Macaca fascicularis: one gene and its partner. The protein of the gene in region 2 binds, or shares a complex with, the protein of the main gene of each other region. Links are inferred from orthologs where the notes say so. Each region holds a gene or a part of one and is shown on either strand. Other genes may lie near its edges.

Region 1 (10,353 bases), on a different chromosome or scaffold from region 2:
ACTCACCTACATATTTTCCCCTCTCAAATCCTAATCACATCTCCACATCTCAACCCTCAACAGTTGAATCTCCCAGCTTCCAAAGAAAATAAAAGCTATTAGGTAAGAACTCCCTCTAATATATCTCTGAAGTCACCCACTCTCACCTCCGTCTCTCCGGCTCAGAGGAAGTATCTTTCTCCTCTGTTACGTTGGTTACTCCTCCCACCCTCGCCTTCCCTGACCACTTCACCCTTCCCAGCATCCCTCCCACCTACACCAGCGTCACCCTTTCCTCTGACCACACTCTCAGATGACACCCATGCTAAAAGATCACTATCCTCTGATTCTATGTTCCTCTCAAGCCATTTCCCTATTTCCCCTTTTGTTTTACTACCAAGCCTCCTTTTAAAAAACATTTATTTCTAAAAATTTCTAAATGCTACATATTTACTTAAAAAATGATGGAAAACTCCGAGAAGTTGAAGGAATGAAAATAAATGCCTCGCACAATCCCATGTCTCAAATGCAAACACCATTAACATTTTCCTGCATTGCATTACCTTCCTTCTGCCTCCCACCTGCACCGCTGAACAGGGCTGCTTTAAAAAACACAGCGCTGTGTCACGGCAGTGTAGTTTCAATTGTCTGTCTGCTTTGCAACTTAACATTATAACATAAACATTTTCTGTATCACTAAACATCATGGCGTCATTTGTGATGGCTAATTGGTATCCATCAAATGTAGACAAATTCAAGCTGGTACCACTTTCTGCACCACAGCCAGTAAGTCAAGAGACAAGGCACTGGGGCAAGGAAAACAACTTTATTCTTAGAGCAATATTTATTCTTTCTTTATTCTTCTCAGCAAACTGAGAAGATGGGCAGACTCACGTCTTAAAAAGCCATCTTAAGTTAATATGCATTTCAAGCTCCTTTTATGTTAGGGTAAGGGAGAAAAGAGAGGCAGTTGAGGTAAAGAAATAACCAATGACCACAGGCACCTGGGCGGCAGCAAGGGTCTGAGGAGGTGAAACTTCTTTGTCCTTGACCAGGTCACAATGCTCTTATAAATCTTTAATGCAACATTGTTACTTGTGTGTACACCCTTCTTTTCTCCTTGGGAGTTAGTTTTGGGAGGAGACTATTATCATCCTTGCTTTAAACTTCAGGCTGGGCATGGTGGCTCAGGCCTGTAATCCCAGCACTTTGGGAAGCTGAGGCAGGTGGATCACCTGAGGCCAGGAGTTCGAGACCAGCCTGGCCAACATGGTGAAACCCCCCCGTCTCTACTGAAAACTCAAAAATTAGCTGGGGGTGGTGGCAGGTGCCTGTAATCCCAGTTACTTGGAAGGCTGAGGCAGGAAAATAACTTGAACCCGGGAGGCGGAGGTTGCAGTGAACCGAGATCACACCACTGCACTCCAGCCAGGGCGACAAGAGCAAAATTCAGTTTCAAAAAAAAAAAAAAAAACAGTTAAACTGCAAACTAAATGCCTCCCATAGTTAGGTTGGCCTATGTGCAAAGATAAGCAAAAGTAATTAACCTAAAAGATACCATTTTGGGGGTAGTTGCAGGGAGATTGGGAGAAAAATGGAGTTAGTCATGTTAAGCCCCCTTTTCACTGTTACATAAATGGAAGTTTACTTAACCATTCTCCTGTTGTTGGACATTTAGATGGACACTTTTTAATGGTTGTAAATGGCATATCAATAAATATTATTATGCATAAAAGCTTTCCTATATGTGTGAATACTTTCAAAGGTAGAGTCTCAAAAATAGAACTAATACTCCAAAATAATGTGAATATCTTGCAACTCTTGACATGTATTGTCGAAGTGCTTTACAAACAGATTTTGCAAATCTACACTTCCAAAATCCGAGTATGCCCATCTCACTGAACCTTTGCTATCACTTGGCCTTATCATTTCTCTCTCCCAAAAATACTGACTTATAACTGTCTTAGTTATTAAGAGATAACTTATTATCTCTTCATCACATCTCAATACATTATATTCACACAGTGTAGTAAGATTATTCTGGAAAACATCATTGTTGACCTTCTTATTGTCAAAACCATTGACCCAGTGGTTTGTTTTTCCTTCTTATGCTATTTGGTCTCTCTGCAGCGTTTGACGTTATTGCCTGCCTCCTACTTGGAGCTCTTTCTGCCTCCATCTCCTCCAGTTGCTTCTAAAATGTTGGGGTTCCTGAGATTTTCACCTTTATTTTTCTCACTTTATATGCTCCCATTGGTAATCTTATCCACTCTTGTAAATTCAGTTTATTCTATCTAGATTCTATCCCAAAAAAATATATTTTTTATTTTATTTTTTGAGAGTCTCACTCTGTCGCCCAGGTTGGAGTGCAATGGCGCGATCTCGGCTCACTGCAACCTCCACCTCCTGGGTTCAAATGATTCTCCTGCCTCAGCCTCCCTAGTGGCTGGACTTACAGGCATGCACCACCACGCCCAGCTAGTTTTTTGTATTTTAGTAGAAATGGGGTTTCACCATGTTGCCCAGGCTGGTCTTGAACTCCTGAGCTCAGTCAATCCACCCACCTCAGCCTCCCAAAGTGCTAGGATTACAGGCGTGAGCCACTGCGCCCGGCTTATTTTTTATTTTGAGGCAGAGTCTCACTCTGTCGCCCAGGCTGGAGTGCAGTGGTGTCATCTTAGCTCACTGCAACCTCTGTCTCCTGGGTTCAAGCGATTCTTCTATCTCAGCCTCCCAAGTAACTGGGATTACAGGTGTGCACCAGCACGTCCAGCTAATTTTTGTGGGTTGTTTTTTTTTTTTTTTTTTGTATTTTTATTAGAGATGGGGTTTAGCCATTTTGGCCAGGCTAGTCTTCAACTTCTGATCTCAAATGATCTGCCTGCCTTGGCCTCCGAAAATGCTGGGATTACAGGCGTGAGCCACTGTGCCTGGCCTTCTATTTATTCTTTTAAAGGTCTTTCCTCAACCTTGTATTCTTCTTTTTAATGTTTGCTTTCCTTCCATTTATAAAGAAGCTTTTATAAGCAATGGTCTATACTTGCTTGTCTCCACTTCCTGAACTCCTATTCGTTTTTTTGTTTTTTTGTTTTTTTCCACAGTAATCTGGCTTCTATTGCCACCCCTCCTCTGAAACTACTACCAACAAAGATCACGGGGGAACTTCTGGATCAAATGGATACACGTTTAGCCCTTTATATTCAAGCTCTCCGTGGCATCTGACCCTCTGACCATGCCTTTCGTTTTTGAATGCAGTCCTTCCTGGCCTATGGAGCCTGTCTTTCTCCTCTGCAGCCTTTCAATCTCAGACCCTTTTTCTTTTAGCTCATCTTCCTCTGCTTCCTCCTTAAATATTAGTTTTCTCAGAGCTCCACCTCATTCTCATCTCATTGCCTTACCTGCTCTCCCAGAATGAGCTCACCCACTCCCAAGATTTTAGCCTCCACCTCTGGCTAATGATGATCTTGCTTATCCCCTTTAAGCCTTGAGTCCGTACATCCAACACATATTATGAGACTCCACTTAGAGATCGCTCAGATTCTTCAAATTTAACAGCCTCAAACTCAGGTCCCCATCCCCTCCCCCTTCCAAATCTGCTCTATTCCTGTAATGGTAGCTCAACTCTTTGACTCGGTCAAATAACCTGAAAACTCTGGAGTCATTCTTGATCCCTCACCCTTTCTTGCTGCCATATTTTGTGAGTCACCAGGTCTTGATTTCCTAAATCCTCATCATATCTCAGATCCAGTCCTTCCTCTCTGTTCCCACTGTCACTTCCACCTCTTCAGCAGTGTCTCCTCACAGGCTTTTCTCATTCACAACTGTATCACTCAGGGTTCAACCAGGTTTAGCATAACCAGGGAGGTATTGTAGGGAACTGGATTATGCAATTGTGGGGGCTGGATAAAGAGTCCCTGTAAGGCTGTCTCTGTATCTGATGCTGGAGCCTGAAGTCCACAGGGCAGGTGTTCAGAAAGAGAAGATGGATATGAAGTAGGGGGAATTGACAGCAGATTGGAACCCGCAAGCATGAGCTGAGACCCTACAAGGATGGACCCTCACCCACGTCTGTTTTGGTTGCCTATGGCCTTGCTGGTAAGGGTATCCTGGAGAAGCTGGGGTCCTTTCATTGCTGCTACTTGGAATAATCTTTCTGAGAATCTAGTTCTTAAAAACTGCAGTGATTCCCCAGTACTTTTAGTATGCTATTCTAATCACTACAGCACCGAAGACTCTCAGGCTTTTGCCTGACTACTACTCCGGCCTTATATCTTGTCATTACCTCACCATGCCTCTTCTCACCTCTTCCCTTCCACTTTCTAGTTTTTTCTCTCTCTCTCTCTCACACACACATACACACACACACACACACACACACACACACACACACACAAGCACACACATATAATCTCAATTACAGTAGAAAAAAATTTACCCATAATATTTGGGGCCTGGTTTACTTAAAATTAATGAGAAAAGAGCACTTGAGCAATTTTGTTGTTACCTCCTAAAGCACATAGACAGCAAGAATTGTCACAAATTTTACACTACAAGCCAGATATCTCAAATGTCACATGAGATTTCATTTCAAAGAGTGTTACCCTGTTCTCATCAGAGAGGCTGTCCTCCCTGTCATCACTGATAGGTCCTTGGCAGCCCTGTGATATCTGTTATCTCACACTCAAGCAAATGATTCTTCAATTGTTACAATGCAGAGGATTGAAAAATAGGCACTTATTTATTTATTTATTATCTTTTTGAGACAAGGTATCACTCTGTCACCAGGCTGGAGTGCAGTGGCACAATCATGGCCCACTTCAGCCTTGACATCCTGGGCTCAAGTGATACTTCTGCCTAAACCTCCTGAGTAGCTAGGTCTACAGGTGCATGCCATCATGCCTGGCCAATTTTTAATTTTTTTTTTTAAGAGATGAGGTCTTGCTATTTTGCCCAGGTTGAACTCAAACTCCTGGGTTCGAACAATCCTCCCAACTCAGCACCACAAAGTGCTGGGAATACAAGCATGAGCCACTGTGCCCAGCTAGCTTTTTAAATTTTTATCCCCAACATCTAGCACAGTGCCTATCACAGAGCAGTTACTTCACTCACTGGAGAAGAACTTACGACATTACTTGAATGAAGGAACTTTTTTCTTACCCCCTAAACTCCTGATCCACCGGTCCATGGAGAAGCCCAGAAAGTCAAGCTTCACAGCCTCTCTCTGCACTTTTTTTTTTTTTTTTAAACAGACACTCACTCTGTCGCCCAGGCTGGAGGGCAGTGGCACCATCTCGGCTCCCTGCAATCTCTGCCTCCTGGGTTCAAGTGATTCTCCTGCCTTAGCCTACTGAGTAGCTGGGACTACAGGCATGCGCCACCACACACGGCTAATTTTTGTATTTTTAGTAGGGACGTAGTTTCACCATATTGGCCAGACTGGTCTCAAACTCCGCCCACCTCAGTCTCCCAAAGTGCTGGGATTACAGGCGTGAGCCACCTCTCCTGGCCTTTCTACCCTTTCAAGATAAGTTTTTGTTTACTGTGCTTGGAACATTCAAATGAAGATCATTTCCTAATGCTTTATCCACTGCCGGTGTGAATGCTATTGTTATAGTATTTCTGGAGAGCAATATGGCAAATTATTACAATTATTAATTAATTTTTTTTTTGAGACACAGTCTTGCTCCATCACCCAGGCTGGAGTGCAGTGGCGCAATGATAGCTCACTAAGTGCTCAAACTCCTGTTCTCAAGTGATCCTACCGCCGCAGCCTCTGAGTAGCTGGGACCAGAGATACATGCCTTCAAGCCCAGCTCATTTTTAAAACGTTATTTATAGAAATGAGGTCTTGCTGTGGTGCCCAGGCTGGTCTTAAACTCCTGGCCTTAAGTGATCCACCCACTTTGGGCTCCCAAAGCACTAGCATGAACCATTGTGCCAGGCCTAAGATGGCAAATTATATCAGAAGTTTTAACAGTAAGAATTGCCCTTGACCCAGTAATTCAATTTTTAGGCATTTGTACTAAGCAAATAATTAGGGATATGAACAAAGATCTACCCACAAGAATGTTAATTGCAACATTGTTTGTAATAGCAGAGAATTGGAAACAATCGACCTGTCTATCAAAGACAGTTGGCTTGAAGAACTGACTCACCTGTCAACAGACTATTGTGTAATAATTAAAAATTAAATTGCAGAAGTGGATTATTTCATATGTCAAGATGCTCAGGATCTATTGTTGTATTTTATTTATTTATTTATTTTTTTGAGACGGAGTCTCACTCTGCAGCCCAGGCTGGAGTGCAGTGGCGCTATTCTTAGCTCACTGCAAACTCCGCCTCCTGGGTTCACGCCATTCTCCTGCCTCAGCCTCCCAAGTAGCTGGAACTACAGGCGCCCACCACCACACCTGGCTAATTTTTTTGTAATTTTAATATAGACGGAGTTTCACCATATTAGCCAGGATGGTCTCGATCTCCTGACCTTGTGATCTGCCCACCTCAGCCTCCCAAAGTGCTGGGATTACAGGCGTGAGCCACCGCGCGTGGCTATTGTTGGATTTTAAAAGCAAGTTACCATATAGTAAGTGTACTAATACAGTATTTTTGTATAAAAATGCATGTGATATATGCATAGAGGAAAGTCTGGAAGGACATCCGTCAGCTATTAACAGTGTGGTCAAATATTTTTGTCTTTTTATTTGCTTTTTATTTTTCTATAAGGTGCATATCACTTTGGTAATATTCTTCTAATGAGAAAAAAAGTTTAAATAACTTGTAGTGAATTCTCTAAGCCCTCCACCCAGCTCCATTCATAGTCATAAATACTTTTGGAGCAAAAGAAAGAAGAAAACAATGACCAATTACTAAGATTTACTGTTGGCTGGGCGTATATCACATACATGATCTCATTTAGTCTCGTAAATATGCATGTTGTCGCCATTTTTACTGATGAGAAAACTGAGTGTCAGATAAAATAAATGGTAGCTGTGCCTGAAGTCACACAGCTAGTAACAGATCTCATCTAGCAGGTCTACCCAACTACAAGCTCCAGCCCTTTCCACCACAGCACACAGCGGAGGGCTCTCCTGAGAGCACCTACCTTTGAGACCATGGTCAGCACTGAGAAAGGTGAAAATAAATCAGTTCCCAGGGTCATTGTCCTCTGATGTAAGCCCACCAGAGGCCAGGGACCTTTGCATTAGCAGAAGCTAGGTCAAAGCTGCGGGGGTGTATATTGGCTTGTAGTTAATGGATAACAATATATTTGTCTGAGTATTGACCCATGATGAACAAGAATAACCAATATCATGCACTCACTGTAAACACCTGGCCAGAGAGTCTTGGGCTCAACTCCTGGCTGGATGTGTGGTCTTAGGCAGGTAATTCATTTTCTCCAGATTTTGGTTACATCATTTCAAGAAAGTAGGATATGGTCTACTGACTCTCTAAGGACCCTTCAACCTCTAACACTTTATGATTCTTTGATGAGTTGCAGATATACACTTTTCTCTTTATCCCTAAATATCTCAGGGTCTAACTTTCTCTTACATAATCACTGCATAGTTATCAAACTCACAGAATTTAACATGTATACATTATTACATAATTTCCATTGCATTTACAAAATCTGCCAACTGTCCCAATGGTGTTCTTTAGAGGAATTTTTCCTTCTTATCTCAAGATCCAATCCAGGATCAAACTGATCGCATGTTGCATTTAGTTACGTAGTCTCTTTAGTCTCCTTTAATCTAGAACATTTCTTGAGGCTTTCTCTCTCATGAATTGACATTTTGGAAGAGTACAAGCTAGTTGTCTTGCAGAATGCCCTTCGACTGGGTCTGTCTCATCTTTCCTCATGATGAGTGTAGGTTACCTGTCCCCTCTGGAATACCATAAAAGTGATGTTGTGTCCTTCTCAGTGCATCGCATCAGGAAACACATGGTATCTGTCTGGCTTGTTACTGGTGATGTTGATTTTGATTATTTGGTTAAAGTGATGTCTTCCAGGTTCCTTTGGTATATAATTATAATTTCTCCCTTTACAGTTATTAAGTAATCTGTGGGGAGGTACTCAGAGACTATGTAGATAACCTCTCCCATTTCAAATTTTTACTCCGTAGTTTTAACATACATTGATGATTCTTGCCTGAATTTGTTATTACAATGATGATTGCAAAATAATGGTGATTTTCTAACTGTAATCTCTTCTATATTTTGCAATTGGCATTTTATCATAAGCAAACAGTTTATCTTTTTTTTTTTTTTTTTGAGATGGAGTCTTGCTCTGTTGCCCAGGCTGGAGTGCAGTGGCATGATCTTGACTCACTGCAACCTCTGCCTCCTGGGTTTAAGCAATTCTCCTGCCTCAGCCTCCCAAGTAGCTGGGATTACAGGCGCCCACGGCCAGGTCCGGCTAATTATTTGTATTTTTAGTAGAGACAGAGTTTCACCATGTTAGCCAGGATGGTCTCAATCTCTTGACCTTGTGATCCGCCTGCCTCGGCCTCCCAAAGTGCTGGGATTACAGGCGTGAGCCACCGCGCCCGGGCCGTTTTCCTTCTTTCTTATTCTGTTGGTATCGGTATGGACCCATAGTTTGCTATTTTGTTCAGTGGATTGTAATTCACTACTATCATTATTTGTTATGATGCTCCGATTGTCCTAGATTTCACAATGGATTCTCTTCAAGTGGTTTCTTTTTACATGGACTTATCATTCTTTGAGTCCTTCCTCACCTTCTGCACAGGATCAACTTATACTCTCCCTTTTCCTGGAATCAGTCATTTCTTCAAGGAGATTTGGTTGCTTTTCATGGGGAATCAGATTTAGAAACCAAGTTCTGATAGTAAGTGGGCTTATTGGTACTGGAATATTCTCGCTTCTAGGCCTTCTCAGGGGACAAAGTTGGAAAGAACAATAATTTCATATGGGTTCATGTAAAATTATGGTTTCATTCTGCTACCTCTAGCACCAATCCAAGATTCCAGAGTTTCTTGTCTTCTCTCATTGTCACTCTCTCTCACAGTGAGAATCCTGGTTTTCAAACAACAATATTAATTTGCTCAAGATTATGATACACATAAATAGTTTTAGGAATTGCTACACCCATTCCACTGTGGAAAAACAAACCTACTAAGTAGATTCCAAGACTTGTTTCCATTTCTTTTTGTTATTGTTGTTGTTCAGACTGATGATATATACAATTGTCCCTTGGTATCTGTGGGGGATTGGTTCCAGGACCCCAAAGGATAACAAAATCCGGGAATGCTCAAGTCCCTTATATAATATGGCATAGTATTTGCATATAACTTATGACATCCTTCCATACACTTTAAATCATCTCTAGATTACTTGTAATATCCAATACAACGTGAATGCTATATAAGTAGTTGTTACACTATATTGCTTTTTAATTATTTGTATTGTTATATTGTTTTTTGTTTTTTTTAAGTGTTTTCATTGGTTGAATCCAAGGATGTAGAACTTACAAATATGGAGGGCGACCGTAATCAAAGAATTGTGTACAAAAGTTACTTGGATCAGTTTTCTTTTTTCCCCTTTCATTGTGTCTAGTATTCATTTGAAACACATTTAGGCTCATTTGTTTCTGTTTGTCTTTTAGTTTCCATTCCCCTATCTTTGTTCACTGATTTTGTTTTAAATATATAAAATACTAACATGATTCCAAAAGTCAAAATTAAAGAAATACTCTGAGCAGAGTATTGGAAATTTTGAGTAATTGTTTCTTTTACTCATATTTAAAATTCACTTTTAATTATTACTAGATATACCTTCCTTCAATAGGATTTAACGAGATCACCATTGAACATACCTCCTCCTTGTTCCATTCAATTTTGGCTGTCCCCATATACTTATTTTGTTGTTGAGACAGAGTCTCGCTCTATCATCCAGCATAGAGAGGTATGATCTTGGCTCACTGTAACCTCTGCCTCCTGGATTTAAGCGGTCCTCTAACCTCAGCCTCCCGAGTAGTTGGGACCACAGGCACAGGCCACCACATCTGGTAATCTTAAAATTGTTGTAGAGATGGGGTCTCCCTATATTTCCCAGGCTGGTCTCAAACTCCTGGGCTCAAGCAATCCTCTTGCCTCGGCCTCCTAATGTGCTGGGATTATAGGTGTGAGCCACTGTGCCCAGCCCCCATATACTTTTGTTTTTTCTTTTTCTTTTTTCATTTATTATACTTTAAGTTCTATGGTATATGTGCACAATATGCAGGTTTGTTACATATTAGAATGGCGATCGTTAAACAGTCAGGAAACCACAGGTGCTGGAGAGGATGTGGAAAAATAGGAACACTTTTACACTGTTGGTGGGACTGTAAACCAGTTCAACCATTGTGGAAGACAG
Region 2 (10,307 bases):
GTTTGCTTTCACAGTAGTCTGGGTCTGGGCATCTGAACTTTAACACTAAAGGTGACCTTCACATGGTGTTGCTTGAGAAATACTGCTGTATCCTTACTACCTTTACCTTATGTCAGGTCACTTGTCTCGAATCACTCTCAAATATAATTTCTTACCTACCTTGCAGCTAGAGAGACCATATCACTTAAGCTGTGGTCTGCGTGGGGACCAATAGCATCAGCATCACTGGAGGACCACTGGACATGCAACATCTCACGCACCAACCCTGACCTACTCTGTAGGTTAACGAGCTCCTCATACGAATCCTATGCACATTACAGTCTGAGAAGCACTGCCTTACACCTCACAGAGGCAATGGTGAAGGTTACATAAAATATTAGATGAAGGCACAGTGCCTGGCACATAATAGGGTGGTGGAGATGTGACAACCAGGATAAAAGAACCTGTAATGGGAAAGAACCCCTTTTAAAGTTGGTGTTTCTTAAATCATGTTCCATTAACTATTGGTGTTCCATGAATTTGCAAGGCAAACACTGGAGAAAATAACTCAATTTTCCAAGTGTTAGTGAGAACAACAACATTTGTTTATATCTAGCTGTTCTCCATAAAAAGGGATTCGAGGCAGCGCTGATAAAGAGGATGGAAAATACTGAAACATAATCTACATCTCCTGAGACTATAAGCAGCCTAGCAGCCCAACAAGATGAAGCAACCTTGTCCTGGCTTTCCCTCTTCATTCTAATCTTGCCCATCTGTCTAAGCAGGTGGGGCCTTGTAGGCATTGAGTCATCATGGCTGCTCAGCTGTCAGTCAACTGCTTGAGGGTGCCTACATGGGGCTTCTAATATTTATTTCTACCGGCTGTTAGTTCTATACACAATCTTAGCTGAAAGGCAGAGAAGTGATTCTCCTAGTCATTATTTCTAACAATGAGTAAAATGTAACATATTCAGATCTTTTTCTCAAGAGAGAAAAGAGTAGACATTAATAACACCAAGAAAAAAGGATTGTGAACATGTGAAACATGCACTTTTCTATTTCTCAAAGTGTGGCATGTTTCTCTTGTAACAAAAAGAGAAGAAATCCATATGCTGAAAATAGGATCCTCACACTACATTTAGATTCACCTAAACAAAGTGCAAACTTTGCCTTGCTCTGATGCAAACTATATTTCATTGGGTTTTTGCTCTTTTACGTTGCTCCTGGTTATACTAATAGTTTAATGTGTGTTGCATTTTAAAAGTTATTCTTGGATACTGTGTATCTCAGACTGGTTAAGCAGCACTGGTTTTGATGTAATGTCATGCCTTTCTCCCCATGAGATAAAGATTCACCAGGACTTGGAAACCCTCTTAGACCCTGGTGGTTACTCCCAATATGAAGCCCATGATCAGGCTGAGAGGGGAGAGAGAGTTAAACTGAAAACTCCTAATTAAGAGCAATTAATATTACCCAAATTATCAGCCAAGATGTAAGGAATGGGGAACTTCCACCTGGTGTTTGGGTCTCTCAGGCCATTTCTGGAGTTCTGTGAAAACAAAGGTAAAGGTGAGTGGGAAGCCTAGTCCTCAAGGTCACCTTGACCTCCTCCTTCAATAAACTCTCACACAGCAAACAGTCTATCACACAATTCAAACGGTTTAGTGGCAATTTCTCTTCCGATTATGAAAGCAATAGAAGTCCCTTGAGAGATAATTTGGAAAAATCAGAGAAATTATTAAGAACAAAATAAAGGGGGCCTGCAATCCCAGGAAAATTGGATAGATAAGCCATCTAATTATTTTAGACTCTTTTGTGCTGTTTACTTATTTTCCCTCTGTTTTCGTCCTTACCGGCTATAGTGGAACTCCTCACTGGAACAGATTATAGATGAGATTTCTGTTATCTCCTTCACAGTGCCCATCCCAGGGCTGGCGACAGAGCAGAGACTGACACCCAATGGTACTGTCTGTCCTGAGGAACTTACTGCATCTTTGACAGGTACTCACCTGCAAGAGGATGTCCCCTTGAAAGAGGTCCAAGCCTGCAGCTGGAAATGGAATTTTTTTTAAAAAAAGAATATTTGAGTGAACATTATTAAAAGGCATCTTCCATAATAAAATTAATCTTTGCCATTATAAATCTTTGAATATTAGTCTTTACGTGGCAAAACTTTTTGAAACAATGCAAAAATTCCAGTTGAGCAAATGTGAATGGCCAATGAGTATCACATATTGTCATAGCCTCTGTTTTCAATTTTGAAACAATAAATCTTGTCTAAGAATCTTAAAAGTAAGAGATAAGTTAGAAGGGATTTTATTGATCACTGACTATAAAAAAGGGATTTGAGGCAGCACTGATAAGGAGGATGAAAAATATTGAGAGAATGGCTGGGGGTGGTGGCTCACGCCTGTAATCCCAGCACTTTGGGAGGCCAAGGTGGGCGGATCACCCGAAGTCCGGAGTTTGAGACCAGCCTGGCCAATGTGGTGAAACCCCTTCTCTACTAAAAGTACAAAAATTAGCTGAGCTTGGTGGTGCACACCTGTAGTCCCAGCTACTGAGGACGCTAAGGCAGGAGAATTGCTCAAACCTAGGAGGTGGAGGTTGCAGTGAGCCATGATCGCGCCACTGCACTCCAGCCTGGATGACAGAGCCAGACTCCATCCCAAAAAAGAAAAGAAAAATATTGAGAGACATGGAGAAAAAAATAGAGTCCAGCGACATGAAGTGATGTACTACGTAATCCAGGGGCCAAGAGAGCATCAAAACTCCGGCCTTCCCATTCAGGGCTCTTTCTGCCCCCGTACCATTCTGCCTCTTGTCCCAGTGTAGATGAATGTATTCTGCTCTTCCCCATGAAAACACGATGATACCCTCCAAAACCAAGCTCAAGGTGCTGCCCACGTCATAAGGAAGACCAGAGGATTGTGGACAGATCCATTCAAAACCATACCTCCAAACATCTGTTCTCAGGTGCTTAGCAGAATACATTCTCCCACTGCTGGTATTGCTTAATCCTGGCCTCATCCTGTTTCAGTAAGCAAGATTCTTAAAAGGGAAGATCTTTGTGGGAAAATTTCTCAAGCATTAAAAGAGCATCACTTATCATAACTCTCATGTGACAAGCAACATTTTCTGTAAAATGCAACGACTTCAGACAGAATCACTGGATTGTACTTCATTCTGAGGACAGCCCTGATTTACAGGCCGGGAAACCAAAGCAGAGATTAATTACCACAGTCTCATGAGCCAACAGAGGCCCCATTTGGCAAAGCCCATGGTTCATTCAGGAACCAGCTCCATTTAGGCATAGGACACCAAGGAGGTGTTACGTATTAGCAGGCATCATGATTTCACTTGCCAGTGACTAACTAGGGCTATCCCTGCATCATTCCCTTCCTCATGCACACATTTGCTAGATTGCTTAACCTCCTTAGCCCTGACCTATTCCTATGCTAGCAGTGCAATTAAACAACCACAAACAGTAATGACATCACCGTACCACTGTCAGTAGGACCCAGATTTGAATAATCTTTTAAATAAAGGGACTTTGTTCTGGTCCATCTATTCTTTCATTGAGAATAGTTCTACTATTTGTTTGTCCTGAGCAAAAATCTGTATTTCCTGACACCTGGCCTGGATTATAATGGAATTGAGGGAGCTCTTCCAAAGTGAAGTGAACGAGCCCACTCAGACTTTGGCCCCAGTGGTCAGACAGAATGGATGGGGTCATGGGGGGCAGGGAGAACTTCCCAAAGAAGTGCACATCCAGTGAAAGCAAGCCTCAATCTATTCATTACCCAATTTGTTCATGTGGTGCGCACTTATTAAATGCCTAATGTGTCTGAAGCATTTTTCTAGATGCTGGGACATAGCAGAGAATAAAACAAAGTCCTTAAGGAGATGACACTCTTGATTGGGGGAAGAGGGAGACATACAAATAAACAAATAACTGTAAAGTATGACAAATGGTGGAAAGTACAATAAAAAAGAAACAAACAAAAGGTAAGGTGGGAAAGAGTGCTGAGGTGAGATAGGTTAGCTATTTTATTAAAGAGTGGTCAGGGAGGGCCCCCCAGAGGAAGTGGCATTTTAGCAGAAATATGATAGAGTAAGGGAATGAAGGAAATGTGGTGGAGGTAAAGGCAACACCAGATAGAAAGGTCCTGTGGCAGGAAAGCCTTGATGTCTTAGGTCAGTGGTCCTAAACTTGAGCATCAGAGTCCCCTGGAAGGCTTGGTCAACACAGGCTGATGAGCCCCCACCCTTGGATTTCTGGTTCATTAAGTCTGGGGCGAGGCCTAAGGATGTTCATTCCTGAGAAGTTTACTGATGCTGCTGGCTGAGGGACAACACATTGAAAATCACTTCCTTAGAGGAGTAGCTGTGCAGTCAGGGTGGCTGGAGAGCTCAAGTGGGAAGAGGAAGAGTAGTCACAAATCCTGTTTCAGCAGATCGACTCACACTCTAATGTGCATAGAAACCGCTTGGGTCTGTCAAATTGGAGATGCTAATTCGGTAGGTCTGGGGTGGATCCTCAAATGCGGCCTTTCCAAGAGAAAGCTCTTGAGTGACACAAGTCATTTTGGCCTGTGGAACACACTTTGGGAATCAAGGCTCTAAGGCCTTTACTTTGTGTTGGAGGAGAAGTCATTAGAAGGTTGGAGCAGAGAAATGACATGATCTGAAGGATAATAAAGGAAGAGTTCTATGTTGTGCAGAATAGTCTGTAGGGACCAAAGGCAGAAAGGAAGCACAGTTATAAGGACCAGTTCGGATATGAGGTGGCTGACCAAGGTGGGGACAGTAAAAGTGCTGAAAAGTCTCAACTGTGGTATGATTTGAAAGTAGATCTAGGCCGGGCACGGTGGCTCATGCCTGTAATTCCAGCACTTTGGGAGGATGAGGTGGGCAGATCACAAGGTCATGAGTTCAAGACCAGCCTGACCAACATAGAAACCCTGTCTCTACCAAAAATACAACAATTAGCCTTGCATGGTGGTGGACACCTGTAATTCCAGCTGCTTGGGAGGCTGAGGCGGGAGAATCACTTGAACCCGGGAGGTGGAGGTTGCAGTGTGCTGAGATTGTGCCACTGCACTCCAGCCTAGGTAACAGAGCAAGACTCCATATCTTGGGAAAAAAGAAAGAAAGAAGAGAAGAGAAGAGAAGAGAAGAGAAGAGAAGGAAGGAAGGAAGGAAGGAAGGAAGGAAGGAAGGAAGGAAGGAAGGAAGGAAGGAAGGAAGGAAGGAAGGAAGGGAGGGAGGATCAAGTAGATCTAATAGCATCTGCTGACAGATTTTGCATAAGGTATGACAGAAAGACAAGAGTTAGGGGCAACTCTAAGATTCTGAGCCTAAAATCTAGAAGGAGTGAGTTACATTTACTGAAATGAAAAGGACTGAGAGGAGCAGGTCTTGGGGTGGAGGATAAGAAATGTTAAGTCAGCCTTGTGAGGCAAAAAGAAGATGGTGAAAGGTGGCAATTTTCTCTATATGATTTTCACCATCAATTTACAGGGTTAGAATCTGGCCATATGGCTAACCCAATCAATCCTGGTGGTTTGGTTGAAATGGCCTAAAAAAAAGATTACATGGTAATGAGATTTCTTCACTGGGGTCAAAGTTCAGAGGTGGTGGTAGGCCTGAAGAGTACAAAATGGCAAAGAGGTAAAGAATTAATTTTTATTAGATAGATAAGGATGAGATTAGAAAAACTCTAAAAATTCAAATCCCAGCCCAGTTGTAAAATAACATCAGATTCTCTGAACTGTTTACACAGTGTCTGACTCTAAAAAGAGATATTTTAGTGCCTGGCTCTGAAGTCTTGGGACTCATTCATGCATTCACCCATTTACCTTCCTAAACTATTTCTGCTCTGCCTATGCAGCCATTCTCCAGCTATTCCAATTAAATATCAACTAACTGGCTTCTCTGTGAGTGAGAGAACGCCAGAAAAATTGACCCATAGGTATAGGTATTTTCATTTTGTAGTCTTCAGATAGCACTGAGCTATTAAGGTACAGGCTGCAAGATCTGGAAGTGAGCCCCGTCACTGCTACCTATAATCCTGAGCAGGTCACTCTAACCATGAGAAGCCACTTGCTCCTCCCCCCAAAAAATGAAAACAGCACTTACTCCACAACAAGACTGGACAAATAAAAATATCATGGCCAGTGGAGGGGTTGGGTTTTGTTTCCCCACTAAATATAACCAGAGGCTTATTCTTATATTTTTCTTTAACTATCAGAATAATTATCTATTTGCTTTCCTTTTCTTCCAAATACAAATTGCAAAAATAAATTTTTTATAAAGAGAAACGTGTTATGTATCTAGATCCATTGAGGACTCCCTAGCTCTCCTAGAATGTCTGGTCTAATTGTCTTCTCTTTCCACATTTTTATCTTTCAGAAAATGCAATTTCTCACAAAGCATCAATAAATATTTCTCCCCCAAAGAATCACAATACAGTATTATGAAGGAAAGTGCTTTTCAGTAATCCCATCACTGGGTTTTAAGTAATTTAAATACTTTAGTATGCAAAAATTGACCTCACCTAAATTGATTTCTGAAATATCCTTCTGTTCACCAAAGTCTGCATCATGTACTGTTAAAAGTGAGGGAAAAAAAATATTATTAGCCTTGCTGAACGAAAAAAGTTCAAAAACACTCTCTGTGCATTTGAACTAATTCTTACCATTTTCTTTAGGAAGATACTTAATCTGAAAAAAAAATAAATATACAGAAAATGGATAACGTATACTAGAATTAATATTTCTAAATATCCAAAAAGCAGGACTCTACTTACCGATACAGCTGCTATGTGGGCAAAAAACAAGGTAAAGGAGAGAATGCATGTGGATCTAGTCCAAGCCATTGCTGCGAGTGAGCTGATTTTAGCAGACACCTTGTCATAAATACCTTTTAGACTTTACCCTGACGGTTGTATTAGAAACTTTGACCCTTCCATATGTACCGTAGTGCTAAAAAAGGTAGTCAAAGATAACAGCATTGACTCTTTCGAGGACAGACACTAAGTTTACCTTAAATGCTTAAGCTTCAGAGACTGGGGAAAAGTTTGAAAAACTAATACTGAAATGAGCATATAAGAAGTAATAACATTCCTATAGGGCAGCAATAGTGATTCATATAATATAACAGAAGATCCTCTTAACAATAAAAACAAAAATAAAAATTTATTATTAAGTATTTAATTCAAATAAAATATAAATTCAAATTTTATGGAAATGTTATAAAGCAATTATTGAAGGACATAAAAAATCCTGACTCTCTCTCTATATATACATATATATGAAATATTAATAGATTATTTCAATATTAATCTATAAATTCATTTTCATTCTAGTAAAAAATCTAACAGGGTTTTCAGTGGAATTTGTCAAGCTGACAAATGGTTCAGTTCACATGAAAGAGTAAACCTTGAGGAATATATAAGAAAATTCTGAAAAGGATGAATAAAGAGAAAAGAATCGCCCTAAAAGAATATCAAGAACTTTTGTAAAATTACAGTAATTAGAGTGTAATAGTTCCAAAAATAAAGACAATGAATCTATAGCCTGGAATAGGTAATATCCAAATAGATGCAAACACATGTGGGGCTTTTGTGTATGAGAGGAACCAAACAGTCAAGAGGGAAACCCTGGTCTCTTTCATAATAATATTGGAATAATTGCATTTCCATATGAGGAAAAACATTAAATGTTCATCTGACACCATTCACAAAAACAAATTCTAGATAGATTAAAAATGTAAATATGAAAATATAAACTTTGAAAAAGAAAATATAGGAACATATTTTTAACCTTGAGTTCAAGAAAGATTGCTTGAACATGAAAAAAACATAGAAATTATAGGGGAAAAGAATAATACATTTGACTATATCAAAATTTAAACTTCTTCATGATAAAAACATAACATGATTAAAAGATAAGCCACAGATGAGAGATGATATGTATAGTGCATATAATTGAATAAGTATTCAGGATATGTAAAGCATTTCTACAAATCAATAACAAGAAAAAGAGATTATCTAAGGAAATAATGAACAAACAATATGAGTAGCTAATTCACAAAAAACCCAGATGGCCGATATACATGTAAAAAGGTTTTTAGCCTAATAAGTATTCAGAAAATATATAAATTCAAATAGCAGTAAAATACTCACCTCAAGCTAAGATTGGCATAAATTAAGAAGACTGACAATATCAAGTGTCAACAAGAAGGTAAGAAAATAGGAAATCTAGTAGGACATCAATTTGATGCTATCTAATGAAGTTGAAATGTGCACAGTTCATAGGATAGAAACACCACTCCTAGGTCTATATGCTAAAGGAACTCACACATATGTGCACAAAATTCCACAGAATATATTCACTGAAGGTTTTTTGTGTTATAGTAAAGAATGGGGAAAATGTGTTTATACTGAAAGAAAAGATAAATTATGGAATATATTCAGTCATGCACAGGTAAATTAGCAATTGGCTCTTTTAAAAAAAGTAAAAACAAACAAGCAAACAAACAAAACCAAGCCTTTATTTGTAGTGTTTGTTGATTTCCATGGTCAATTTCAAGCTACCAACATCATGTCACTGAATGCAGCGTTGGGAAGAGATGTACACAGTGGGCTCCATCTGCCCCAGCACAATACTAAATATATGCACACACCCACCTATTCTTGCCTGCACCAGGTATGAGAATCTTTGGTATTAGAGCAATCTTCAAGGTCTAGAGCCTGCATCTCTCTACCTCAGACTTACTACTGGGCAGGTGGGCTAGTCCTGCTATCAAAAAAGCATTTCCTGTCACAAAAGACTTTTAGAAGGTTAACAGTAGAGCTTCTTGAGCTGTAAAATAGGAGGCATGTCAACTGGGGGCCTGCTTCTGATGGGCAGAAGAGGTCTATGGCTGATTTTTGTTTTACCTAAGCCACTGATGGTGAGCTGATAAAAGGCCATCTTCCACTGTCTCTAACCACTACAAGCCACTAATATTACCTTTTTAAATGAAACAAAACAAAACAAAACAAAAAACCAAATTTGCTCAACAGCTGCAATGACTTAAGTGAGCAACTACAATCCATACCATTTAAAAATTGGGCAATAATCAAATTTTAAAATTGGGCAACATCATAAGAATAATTGGCTTTAAGTATCAGGGTGGAAAACATGGGACTTTTATTTCTTAAATGTGTTGTTTAATTTTTCTCAAATTCTGAAGCAATTATGGTAAAATTGAATATTTGTTAATCTTGGAAGCCAGGAAGTAAGAGTTTGTTATTTTCTAAAGAAACAGGCAGTGCTGTTGCTTTGGTACACCTCTCTACTAAATCTCAGGTATTAGGATTTCAAACAGGCAATAGTGAAGCTGCTTAATTCTCTCCACCTTCTCTTGCTTCCAGCCAGATGTGTTTTTATCTTTCCCTGCCTTCTTAAACTTATCTGAATGATATACTACAACAATGGCTTTGGGATTAGATAGGCAGGAATTCCACCTCTACCATTGACTAGCTATGGCAATTTTAGCATCTACTTTCTATGTGTAGAATGGATAGTGGTGCCTACTTCATGGTGCCAATGTAAAAGTTCAATGAGATAACATATGTAAACCACAGCTACTAGAAACATAGAAAGCACTCAATAAACTGCTCTTTCTACCTACTAGTTAGCAACTGCCTCCTAGCAAAACATGGGTAATAAAAACAGCTCAGTTCACTCCTTGCTCAGTGGAATCTCCAGTGGTGAGAACATAGGTCTTCAGCAGACACAACCTGCCCCCGATTATTTTATGGTCACAATCTTAATGGCAGGTGTTAATTAGTTACCAGCTATTTGCAATCCTAGTCACTTCTTCATTGTGTCAGGGTATCAGATGAGTAAGGCTGGGGCCTTAAGTCCTTCATTTGAAGGGTTTATGGCTTTTCAGTTTAAAGAAGATTATGCACTCTGAGGTCAAGGTCCATGCTTTATTTCCTGTATCTGCCCCAGTGTTTGGAAACATAGTAGGTAATAAGTTATCATTTTAACTGAAAAACAGTAAATAGAATTTTCTCTGAAGGTATTGGATGGGGTGACTTGCTTTGATCTCAGGCAGGGCATTTTATAAACTAACCAGTTGAGAAAGTGGTCTGAAGCTTGGAGGAAGAAAGTCATTAACAGGTAGAAAATGGAAAAACCCTCCCCCAGCTATTTCCACACACTCTCCAGCTTCATAAAAGTTCAGGTCAGGAGTTGGGCTAAGAGACTTGCAAAGTCCTCTCACCCCAACCCTTTCTCAAGGATGTTCTCTGCCCTCTTTCTACTCTATTG

Evidence for each region. The genes of interacting proteins can lie anywhere in the genome.
Region 1: the proteins of MEP1A (region 2) and FETUB are in contact, whole or in part, in a cryo-EM structure (PDB 7UAI), measured with the Homo sapiens proteins. The link is inferred for Macaca fascicularis from reciprocal best matches to the Homo sapiens genes MEP1A and FETUB. Residues at the interface, in NP_005579.2 of Homo sapiens: Asp126, Gly127, Cys128, Trp129, Ser130, Glu131, Val132, Gln145, Gly146, Cys147, Tyr149, Ile152, His155, Glu156, His159, Tyr164, His165, Gln167, Ser168, Leu184, Gly186, Tyr187, His189, Asn190, Asp192, Tyr194, Tyr214, Gln215, Phe217, Ser218; in NP_001362516.1 of Homo sapiens: Phe109, Phe110, Lys144, Lys145, Tyr148, Met149, Thr150, Cys151, Pro152, Asp153, Cys154, Pro155, Ser156, Ser157, Ile158, Ser196, Ser197, Gln198, Trp199, Val200, Val201, Gly202, Tyr205, Phe206, Thr242, His245, Trp246, Phe249, Val250, Ser251.

Annotation. Positions count from the first base shown.
Region 1 is NC_088376.1:98,580,720-98,591,072, forward strand, and holds the start of FETUB (fetuin-B), read left to right. Parts: upstream 1-3,911; 5' UTR 3,912-4,074; intron 4,075-5,136; exon of another isoform or gene 5,137-5,345; intron 5,346-7,314; exon of another isoform or gene 7,315-7,361; intron 7,362-10,353. UniProt on the Homo sapiens protein: Protease inhibitor required for egg fertilization.
Region 2 is NC_088378.1:124,790,629-124,800,935, forward strand, and holds the start of MEP1A (meprin A subunit alpha), read right to left. Parts: upstream 6,870-10,307; 5' UTR 6,860-6,869; coding exon 6,791-6,859; intron 6,705-6,790; coding exon 6,680-6,704; intron 6,590-6,679; coding exon 6,539-6,589; intron 2,030-6,538; coding exon 1,989-2,029; intron 1,529-1,988; coding exon 1,453-1,528; intron 1-1,452.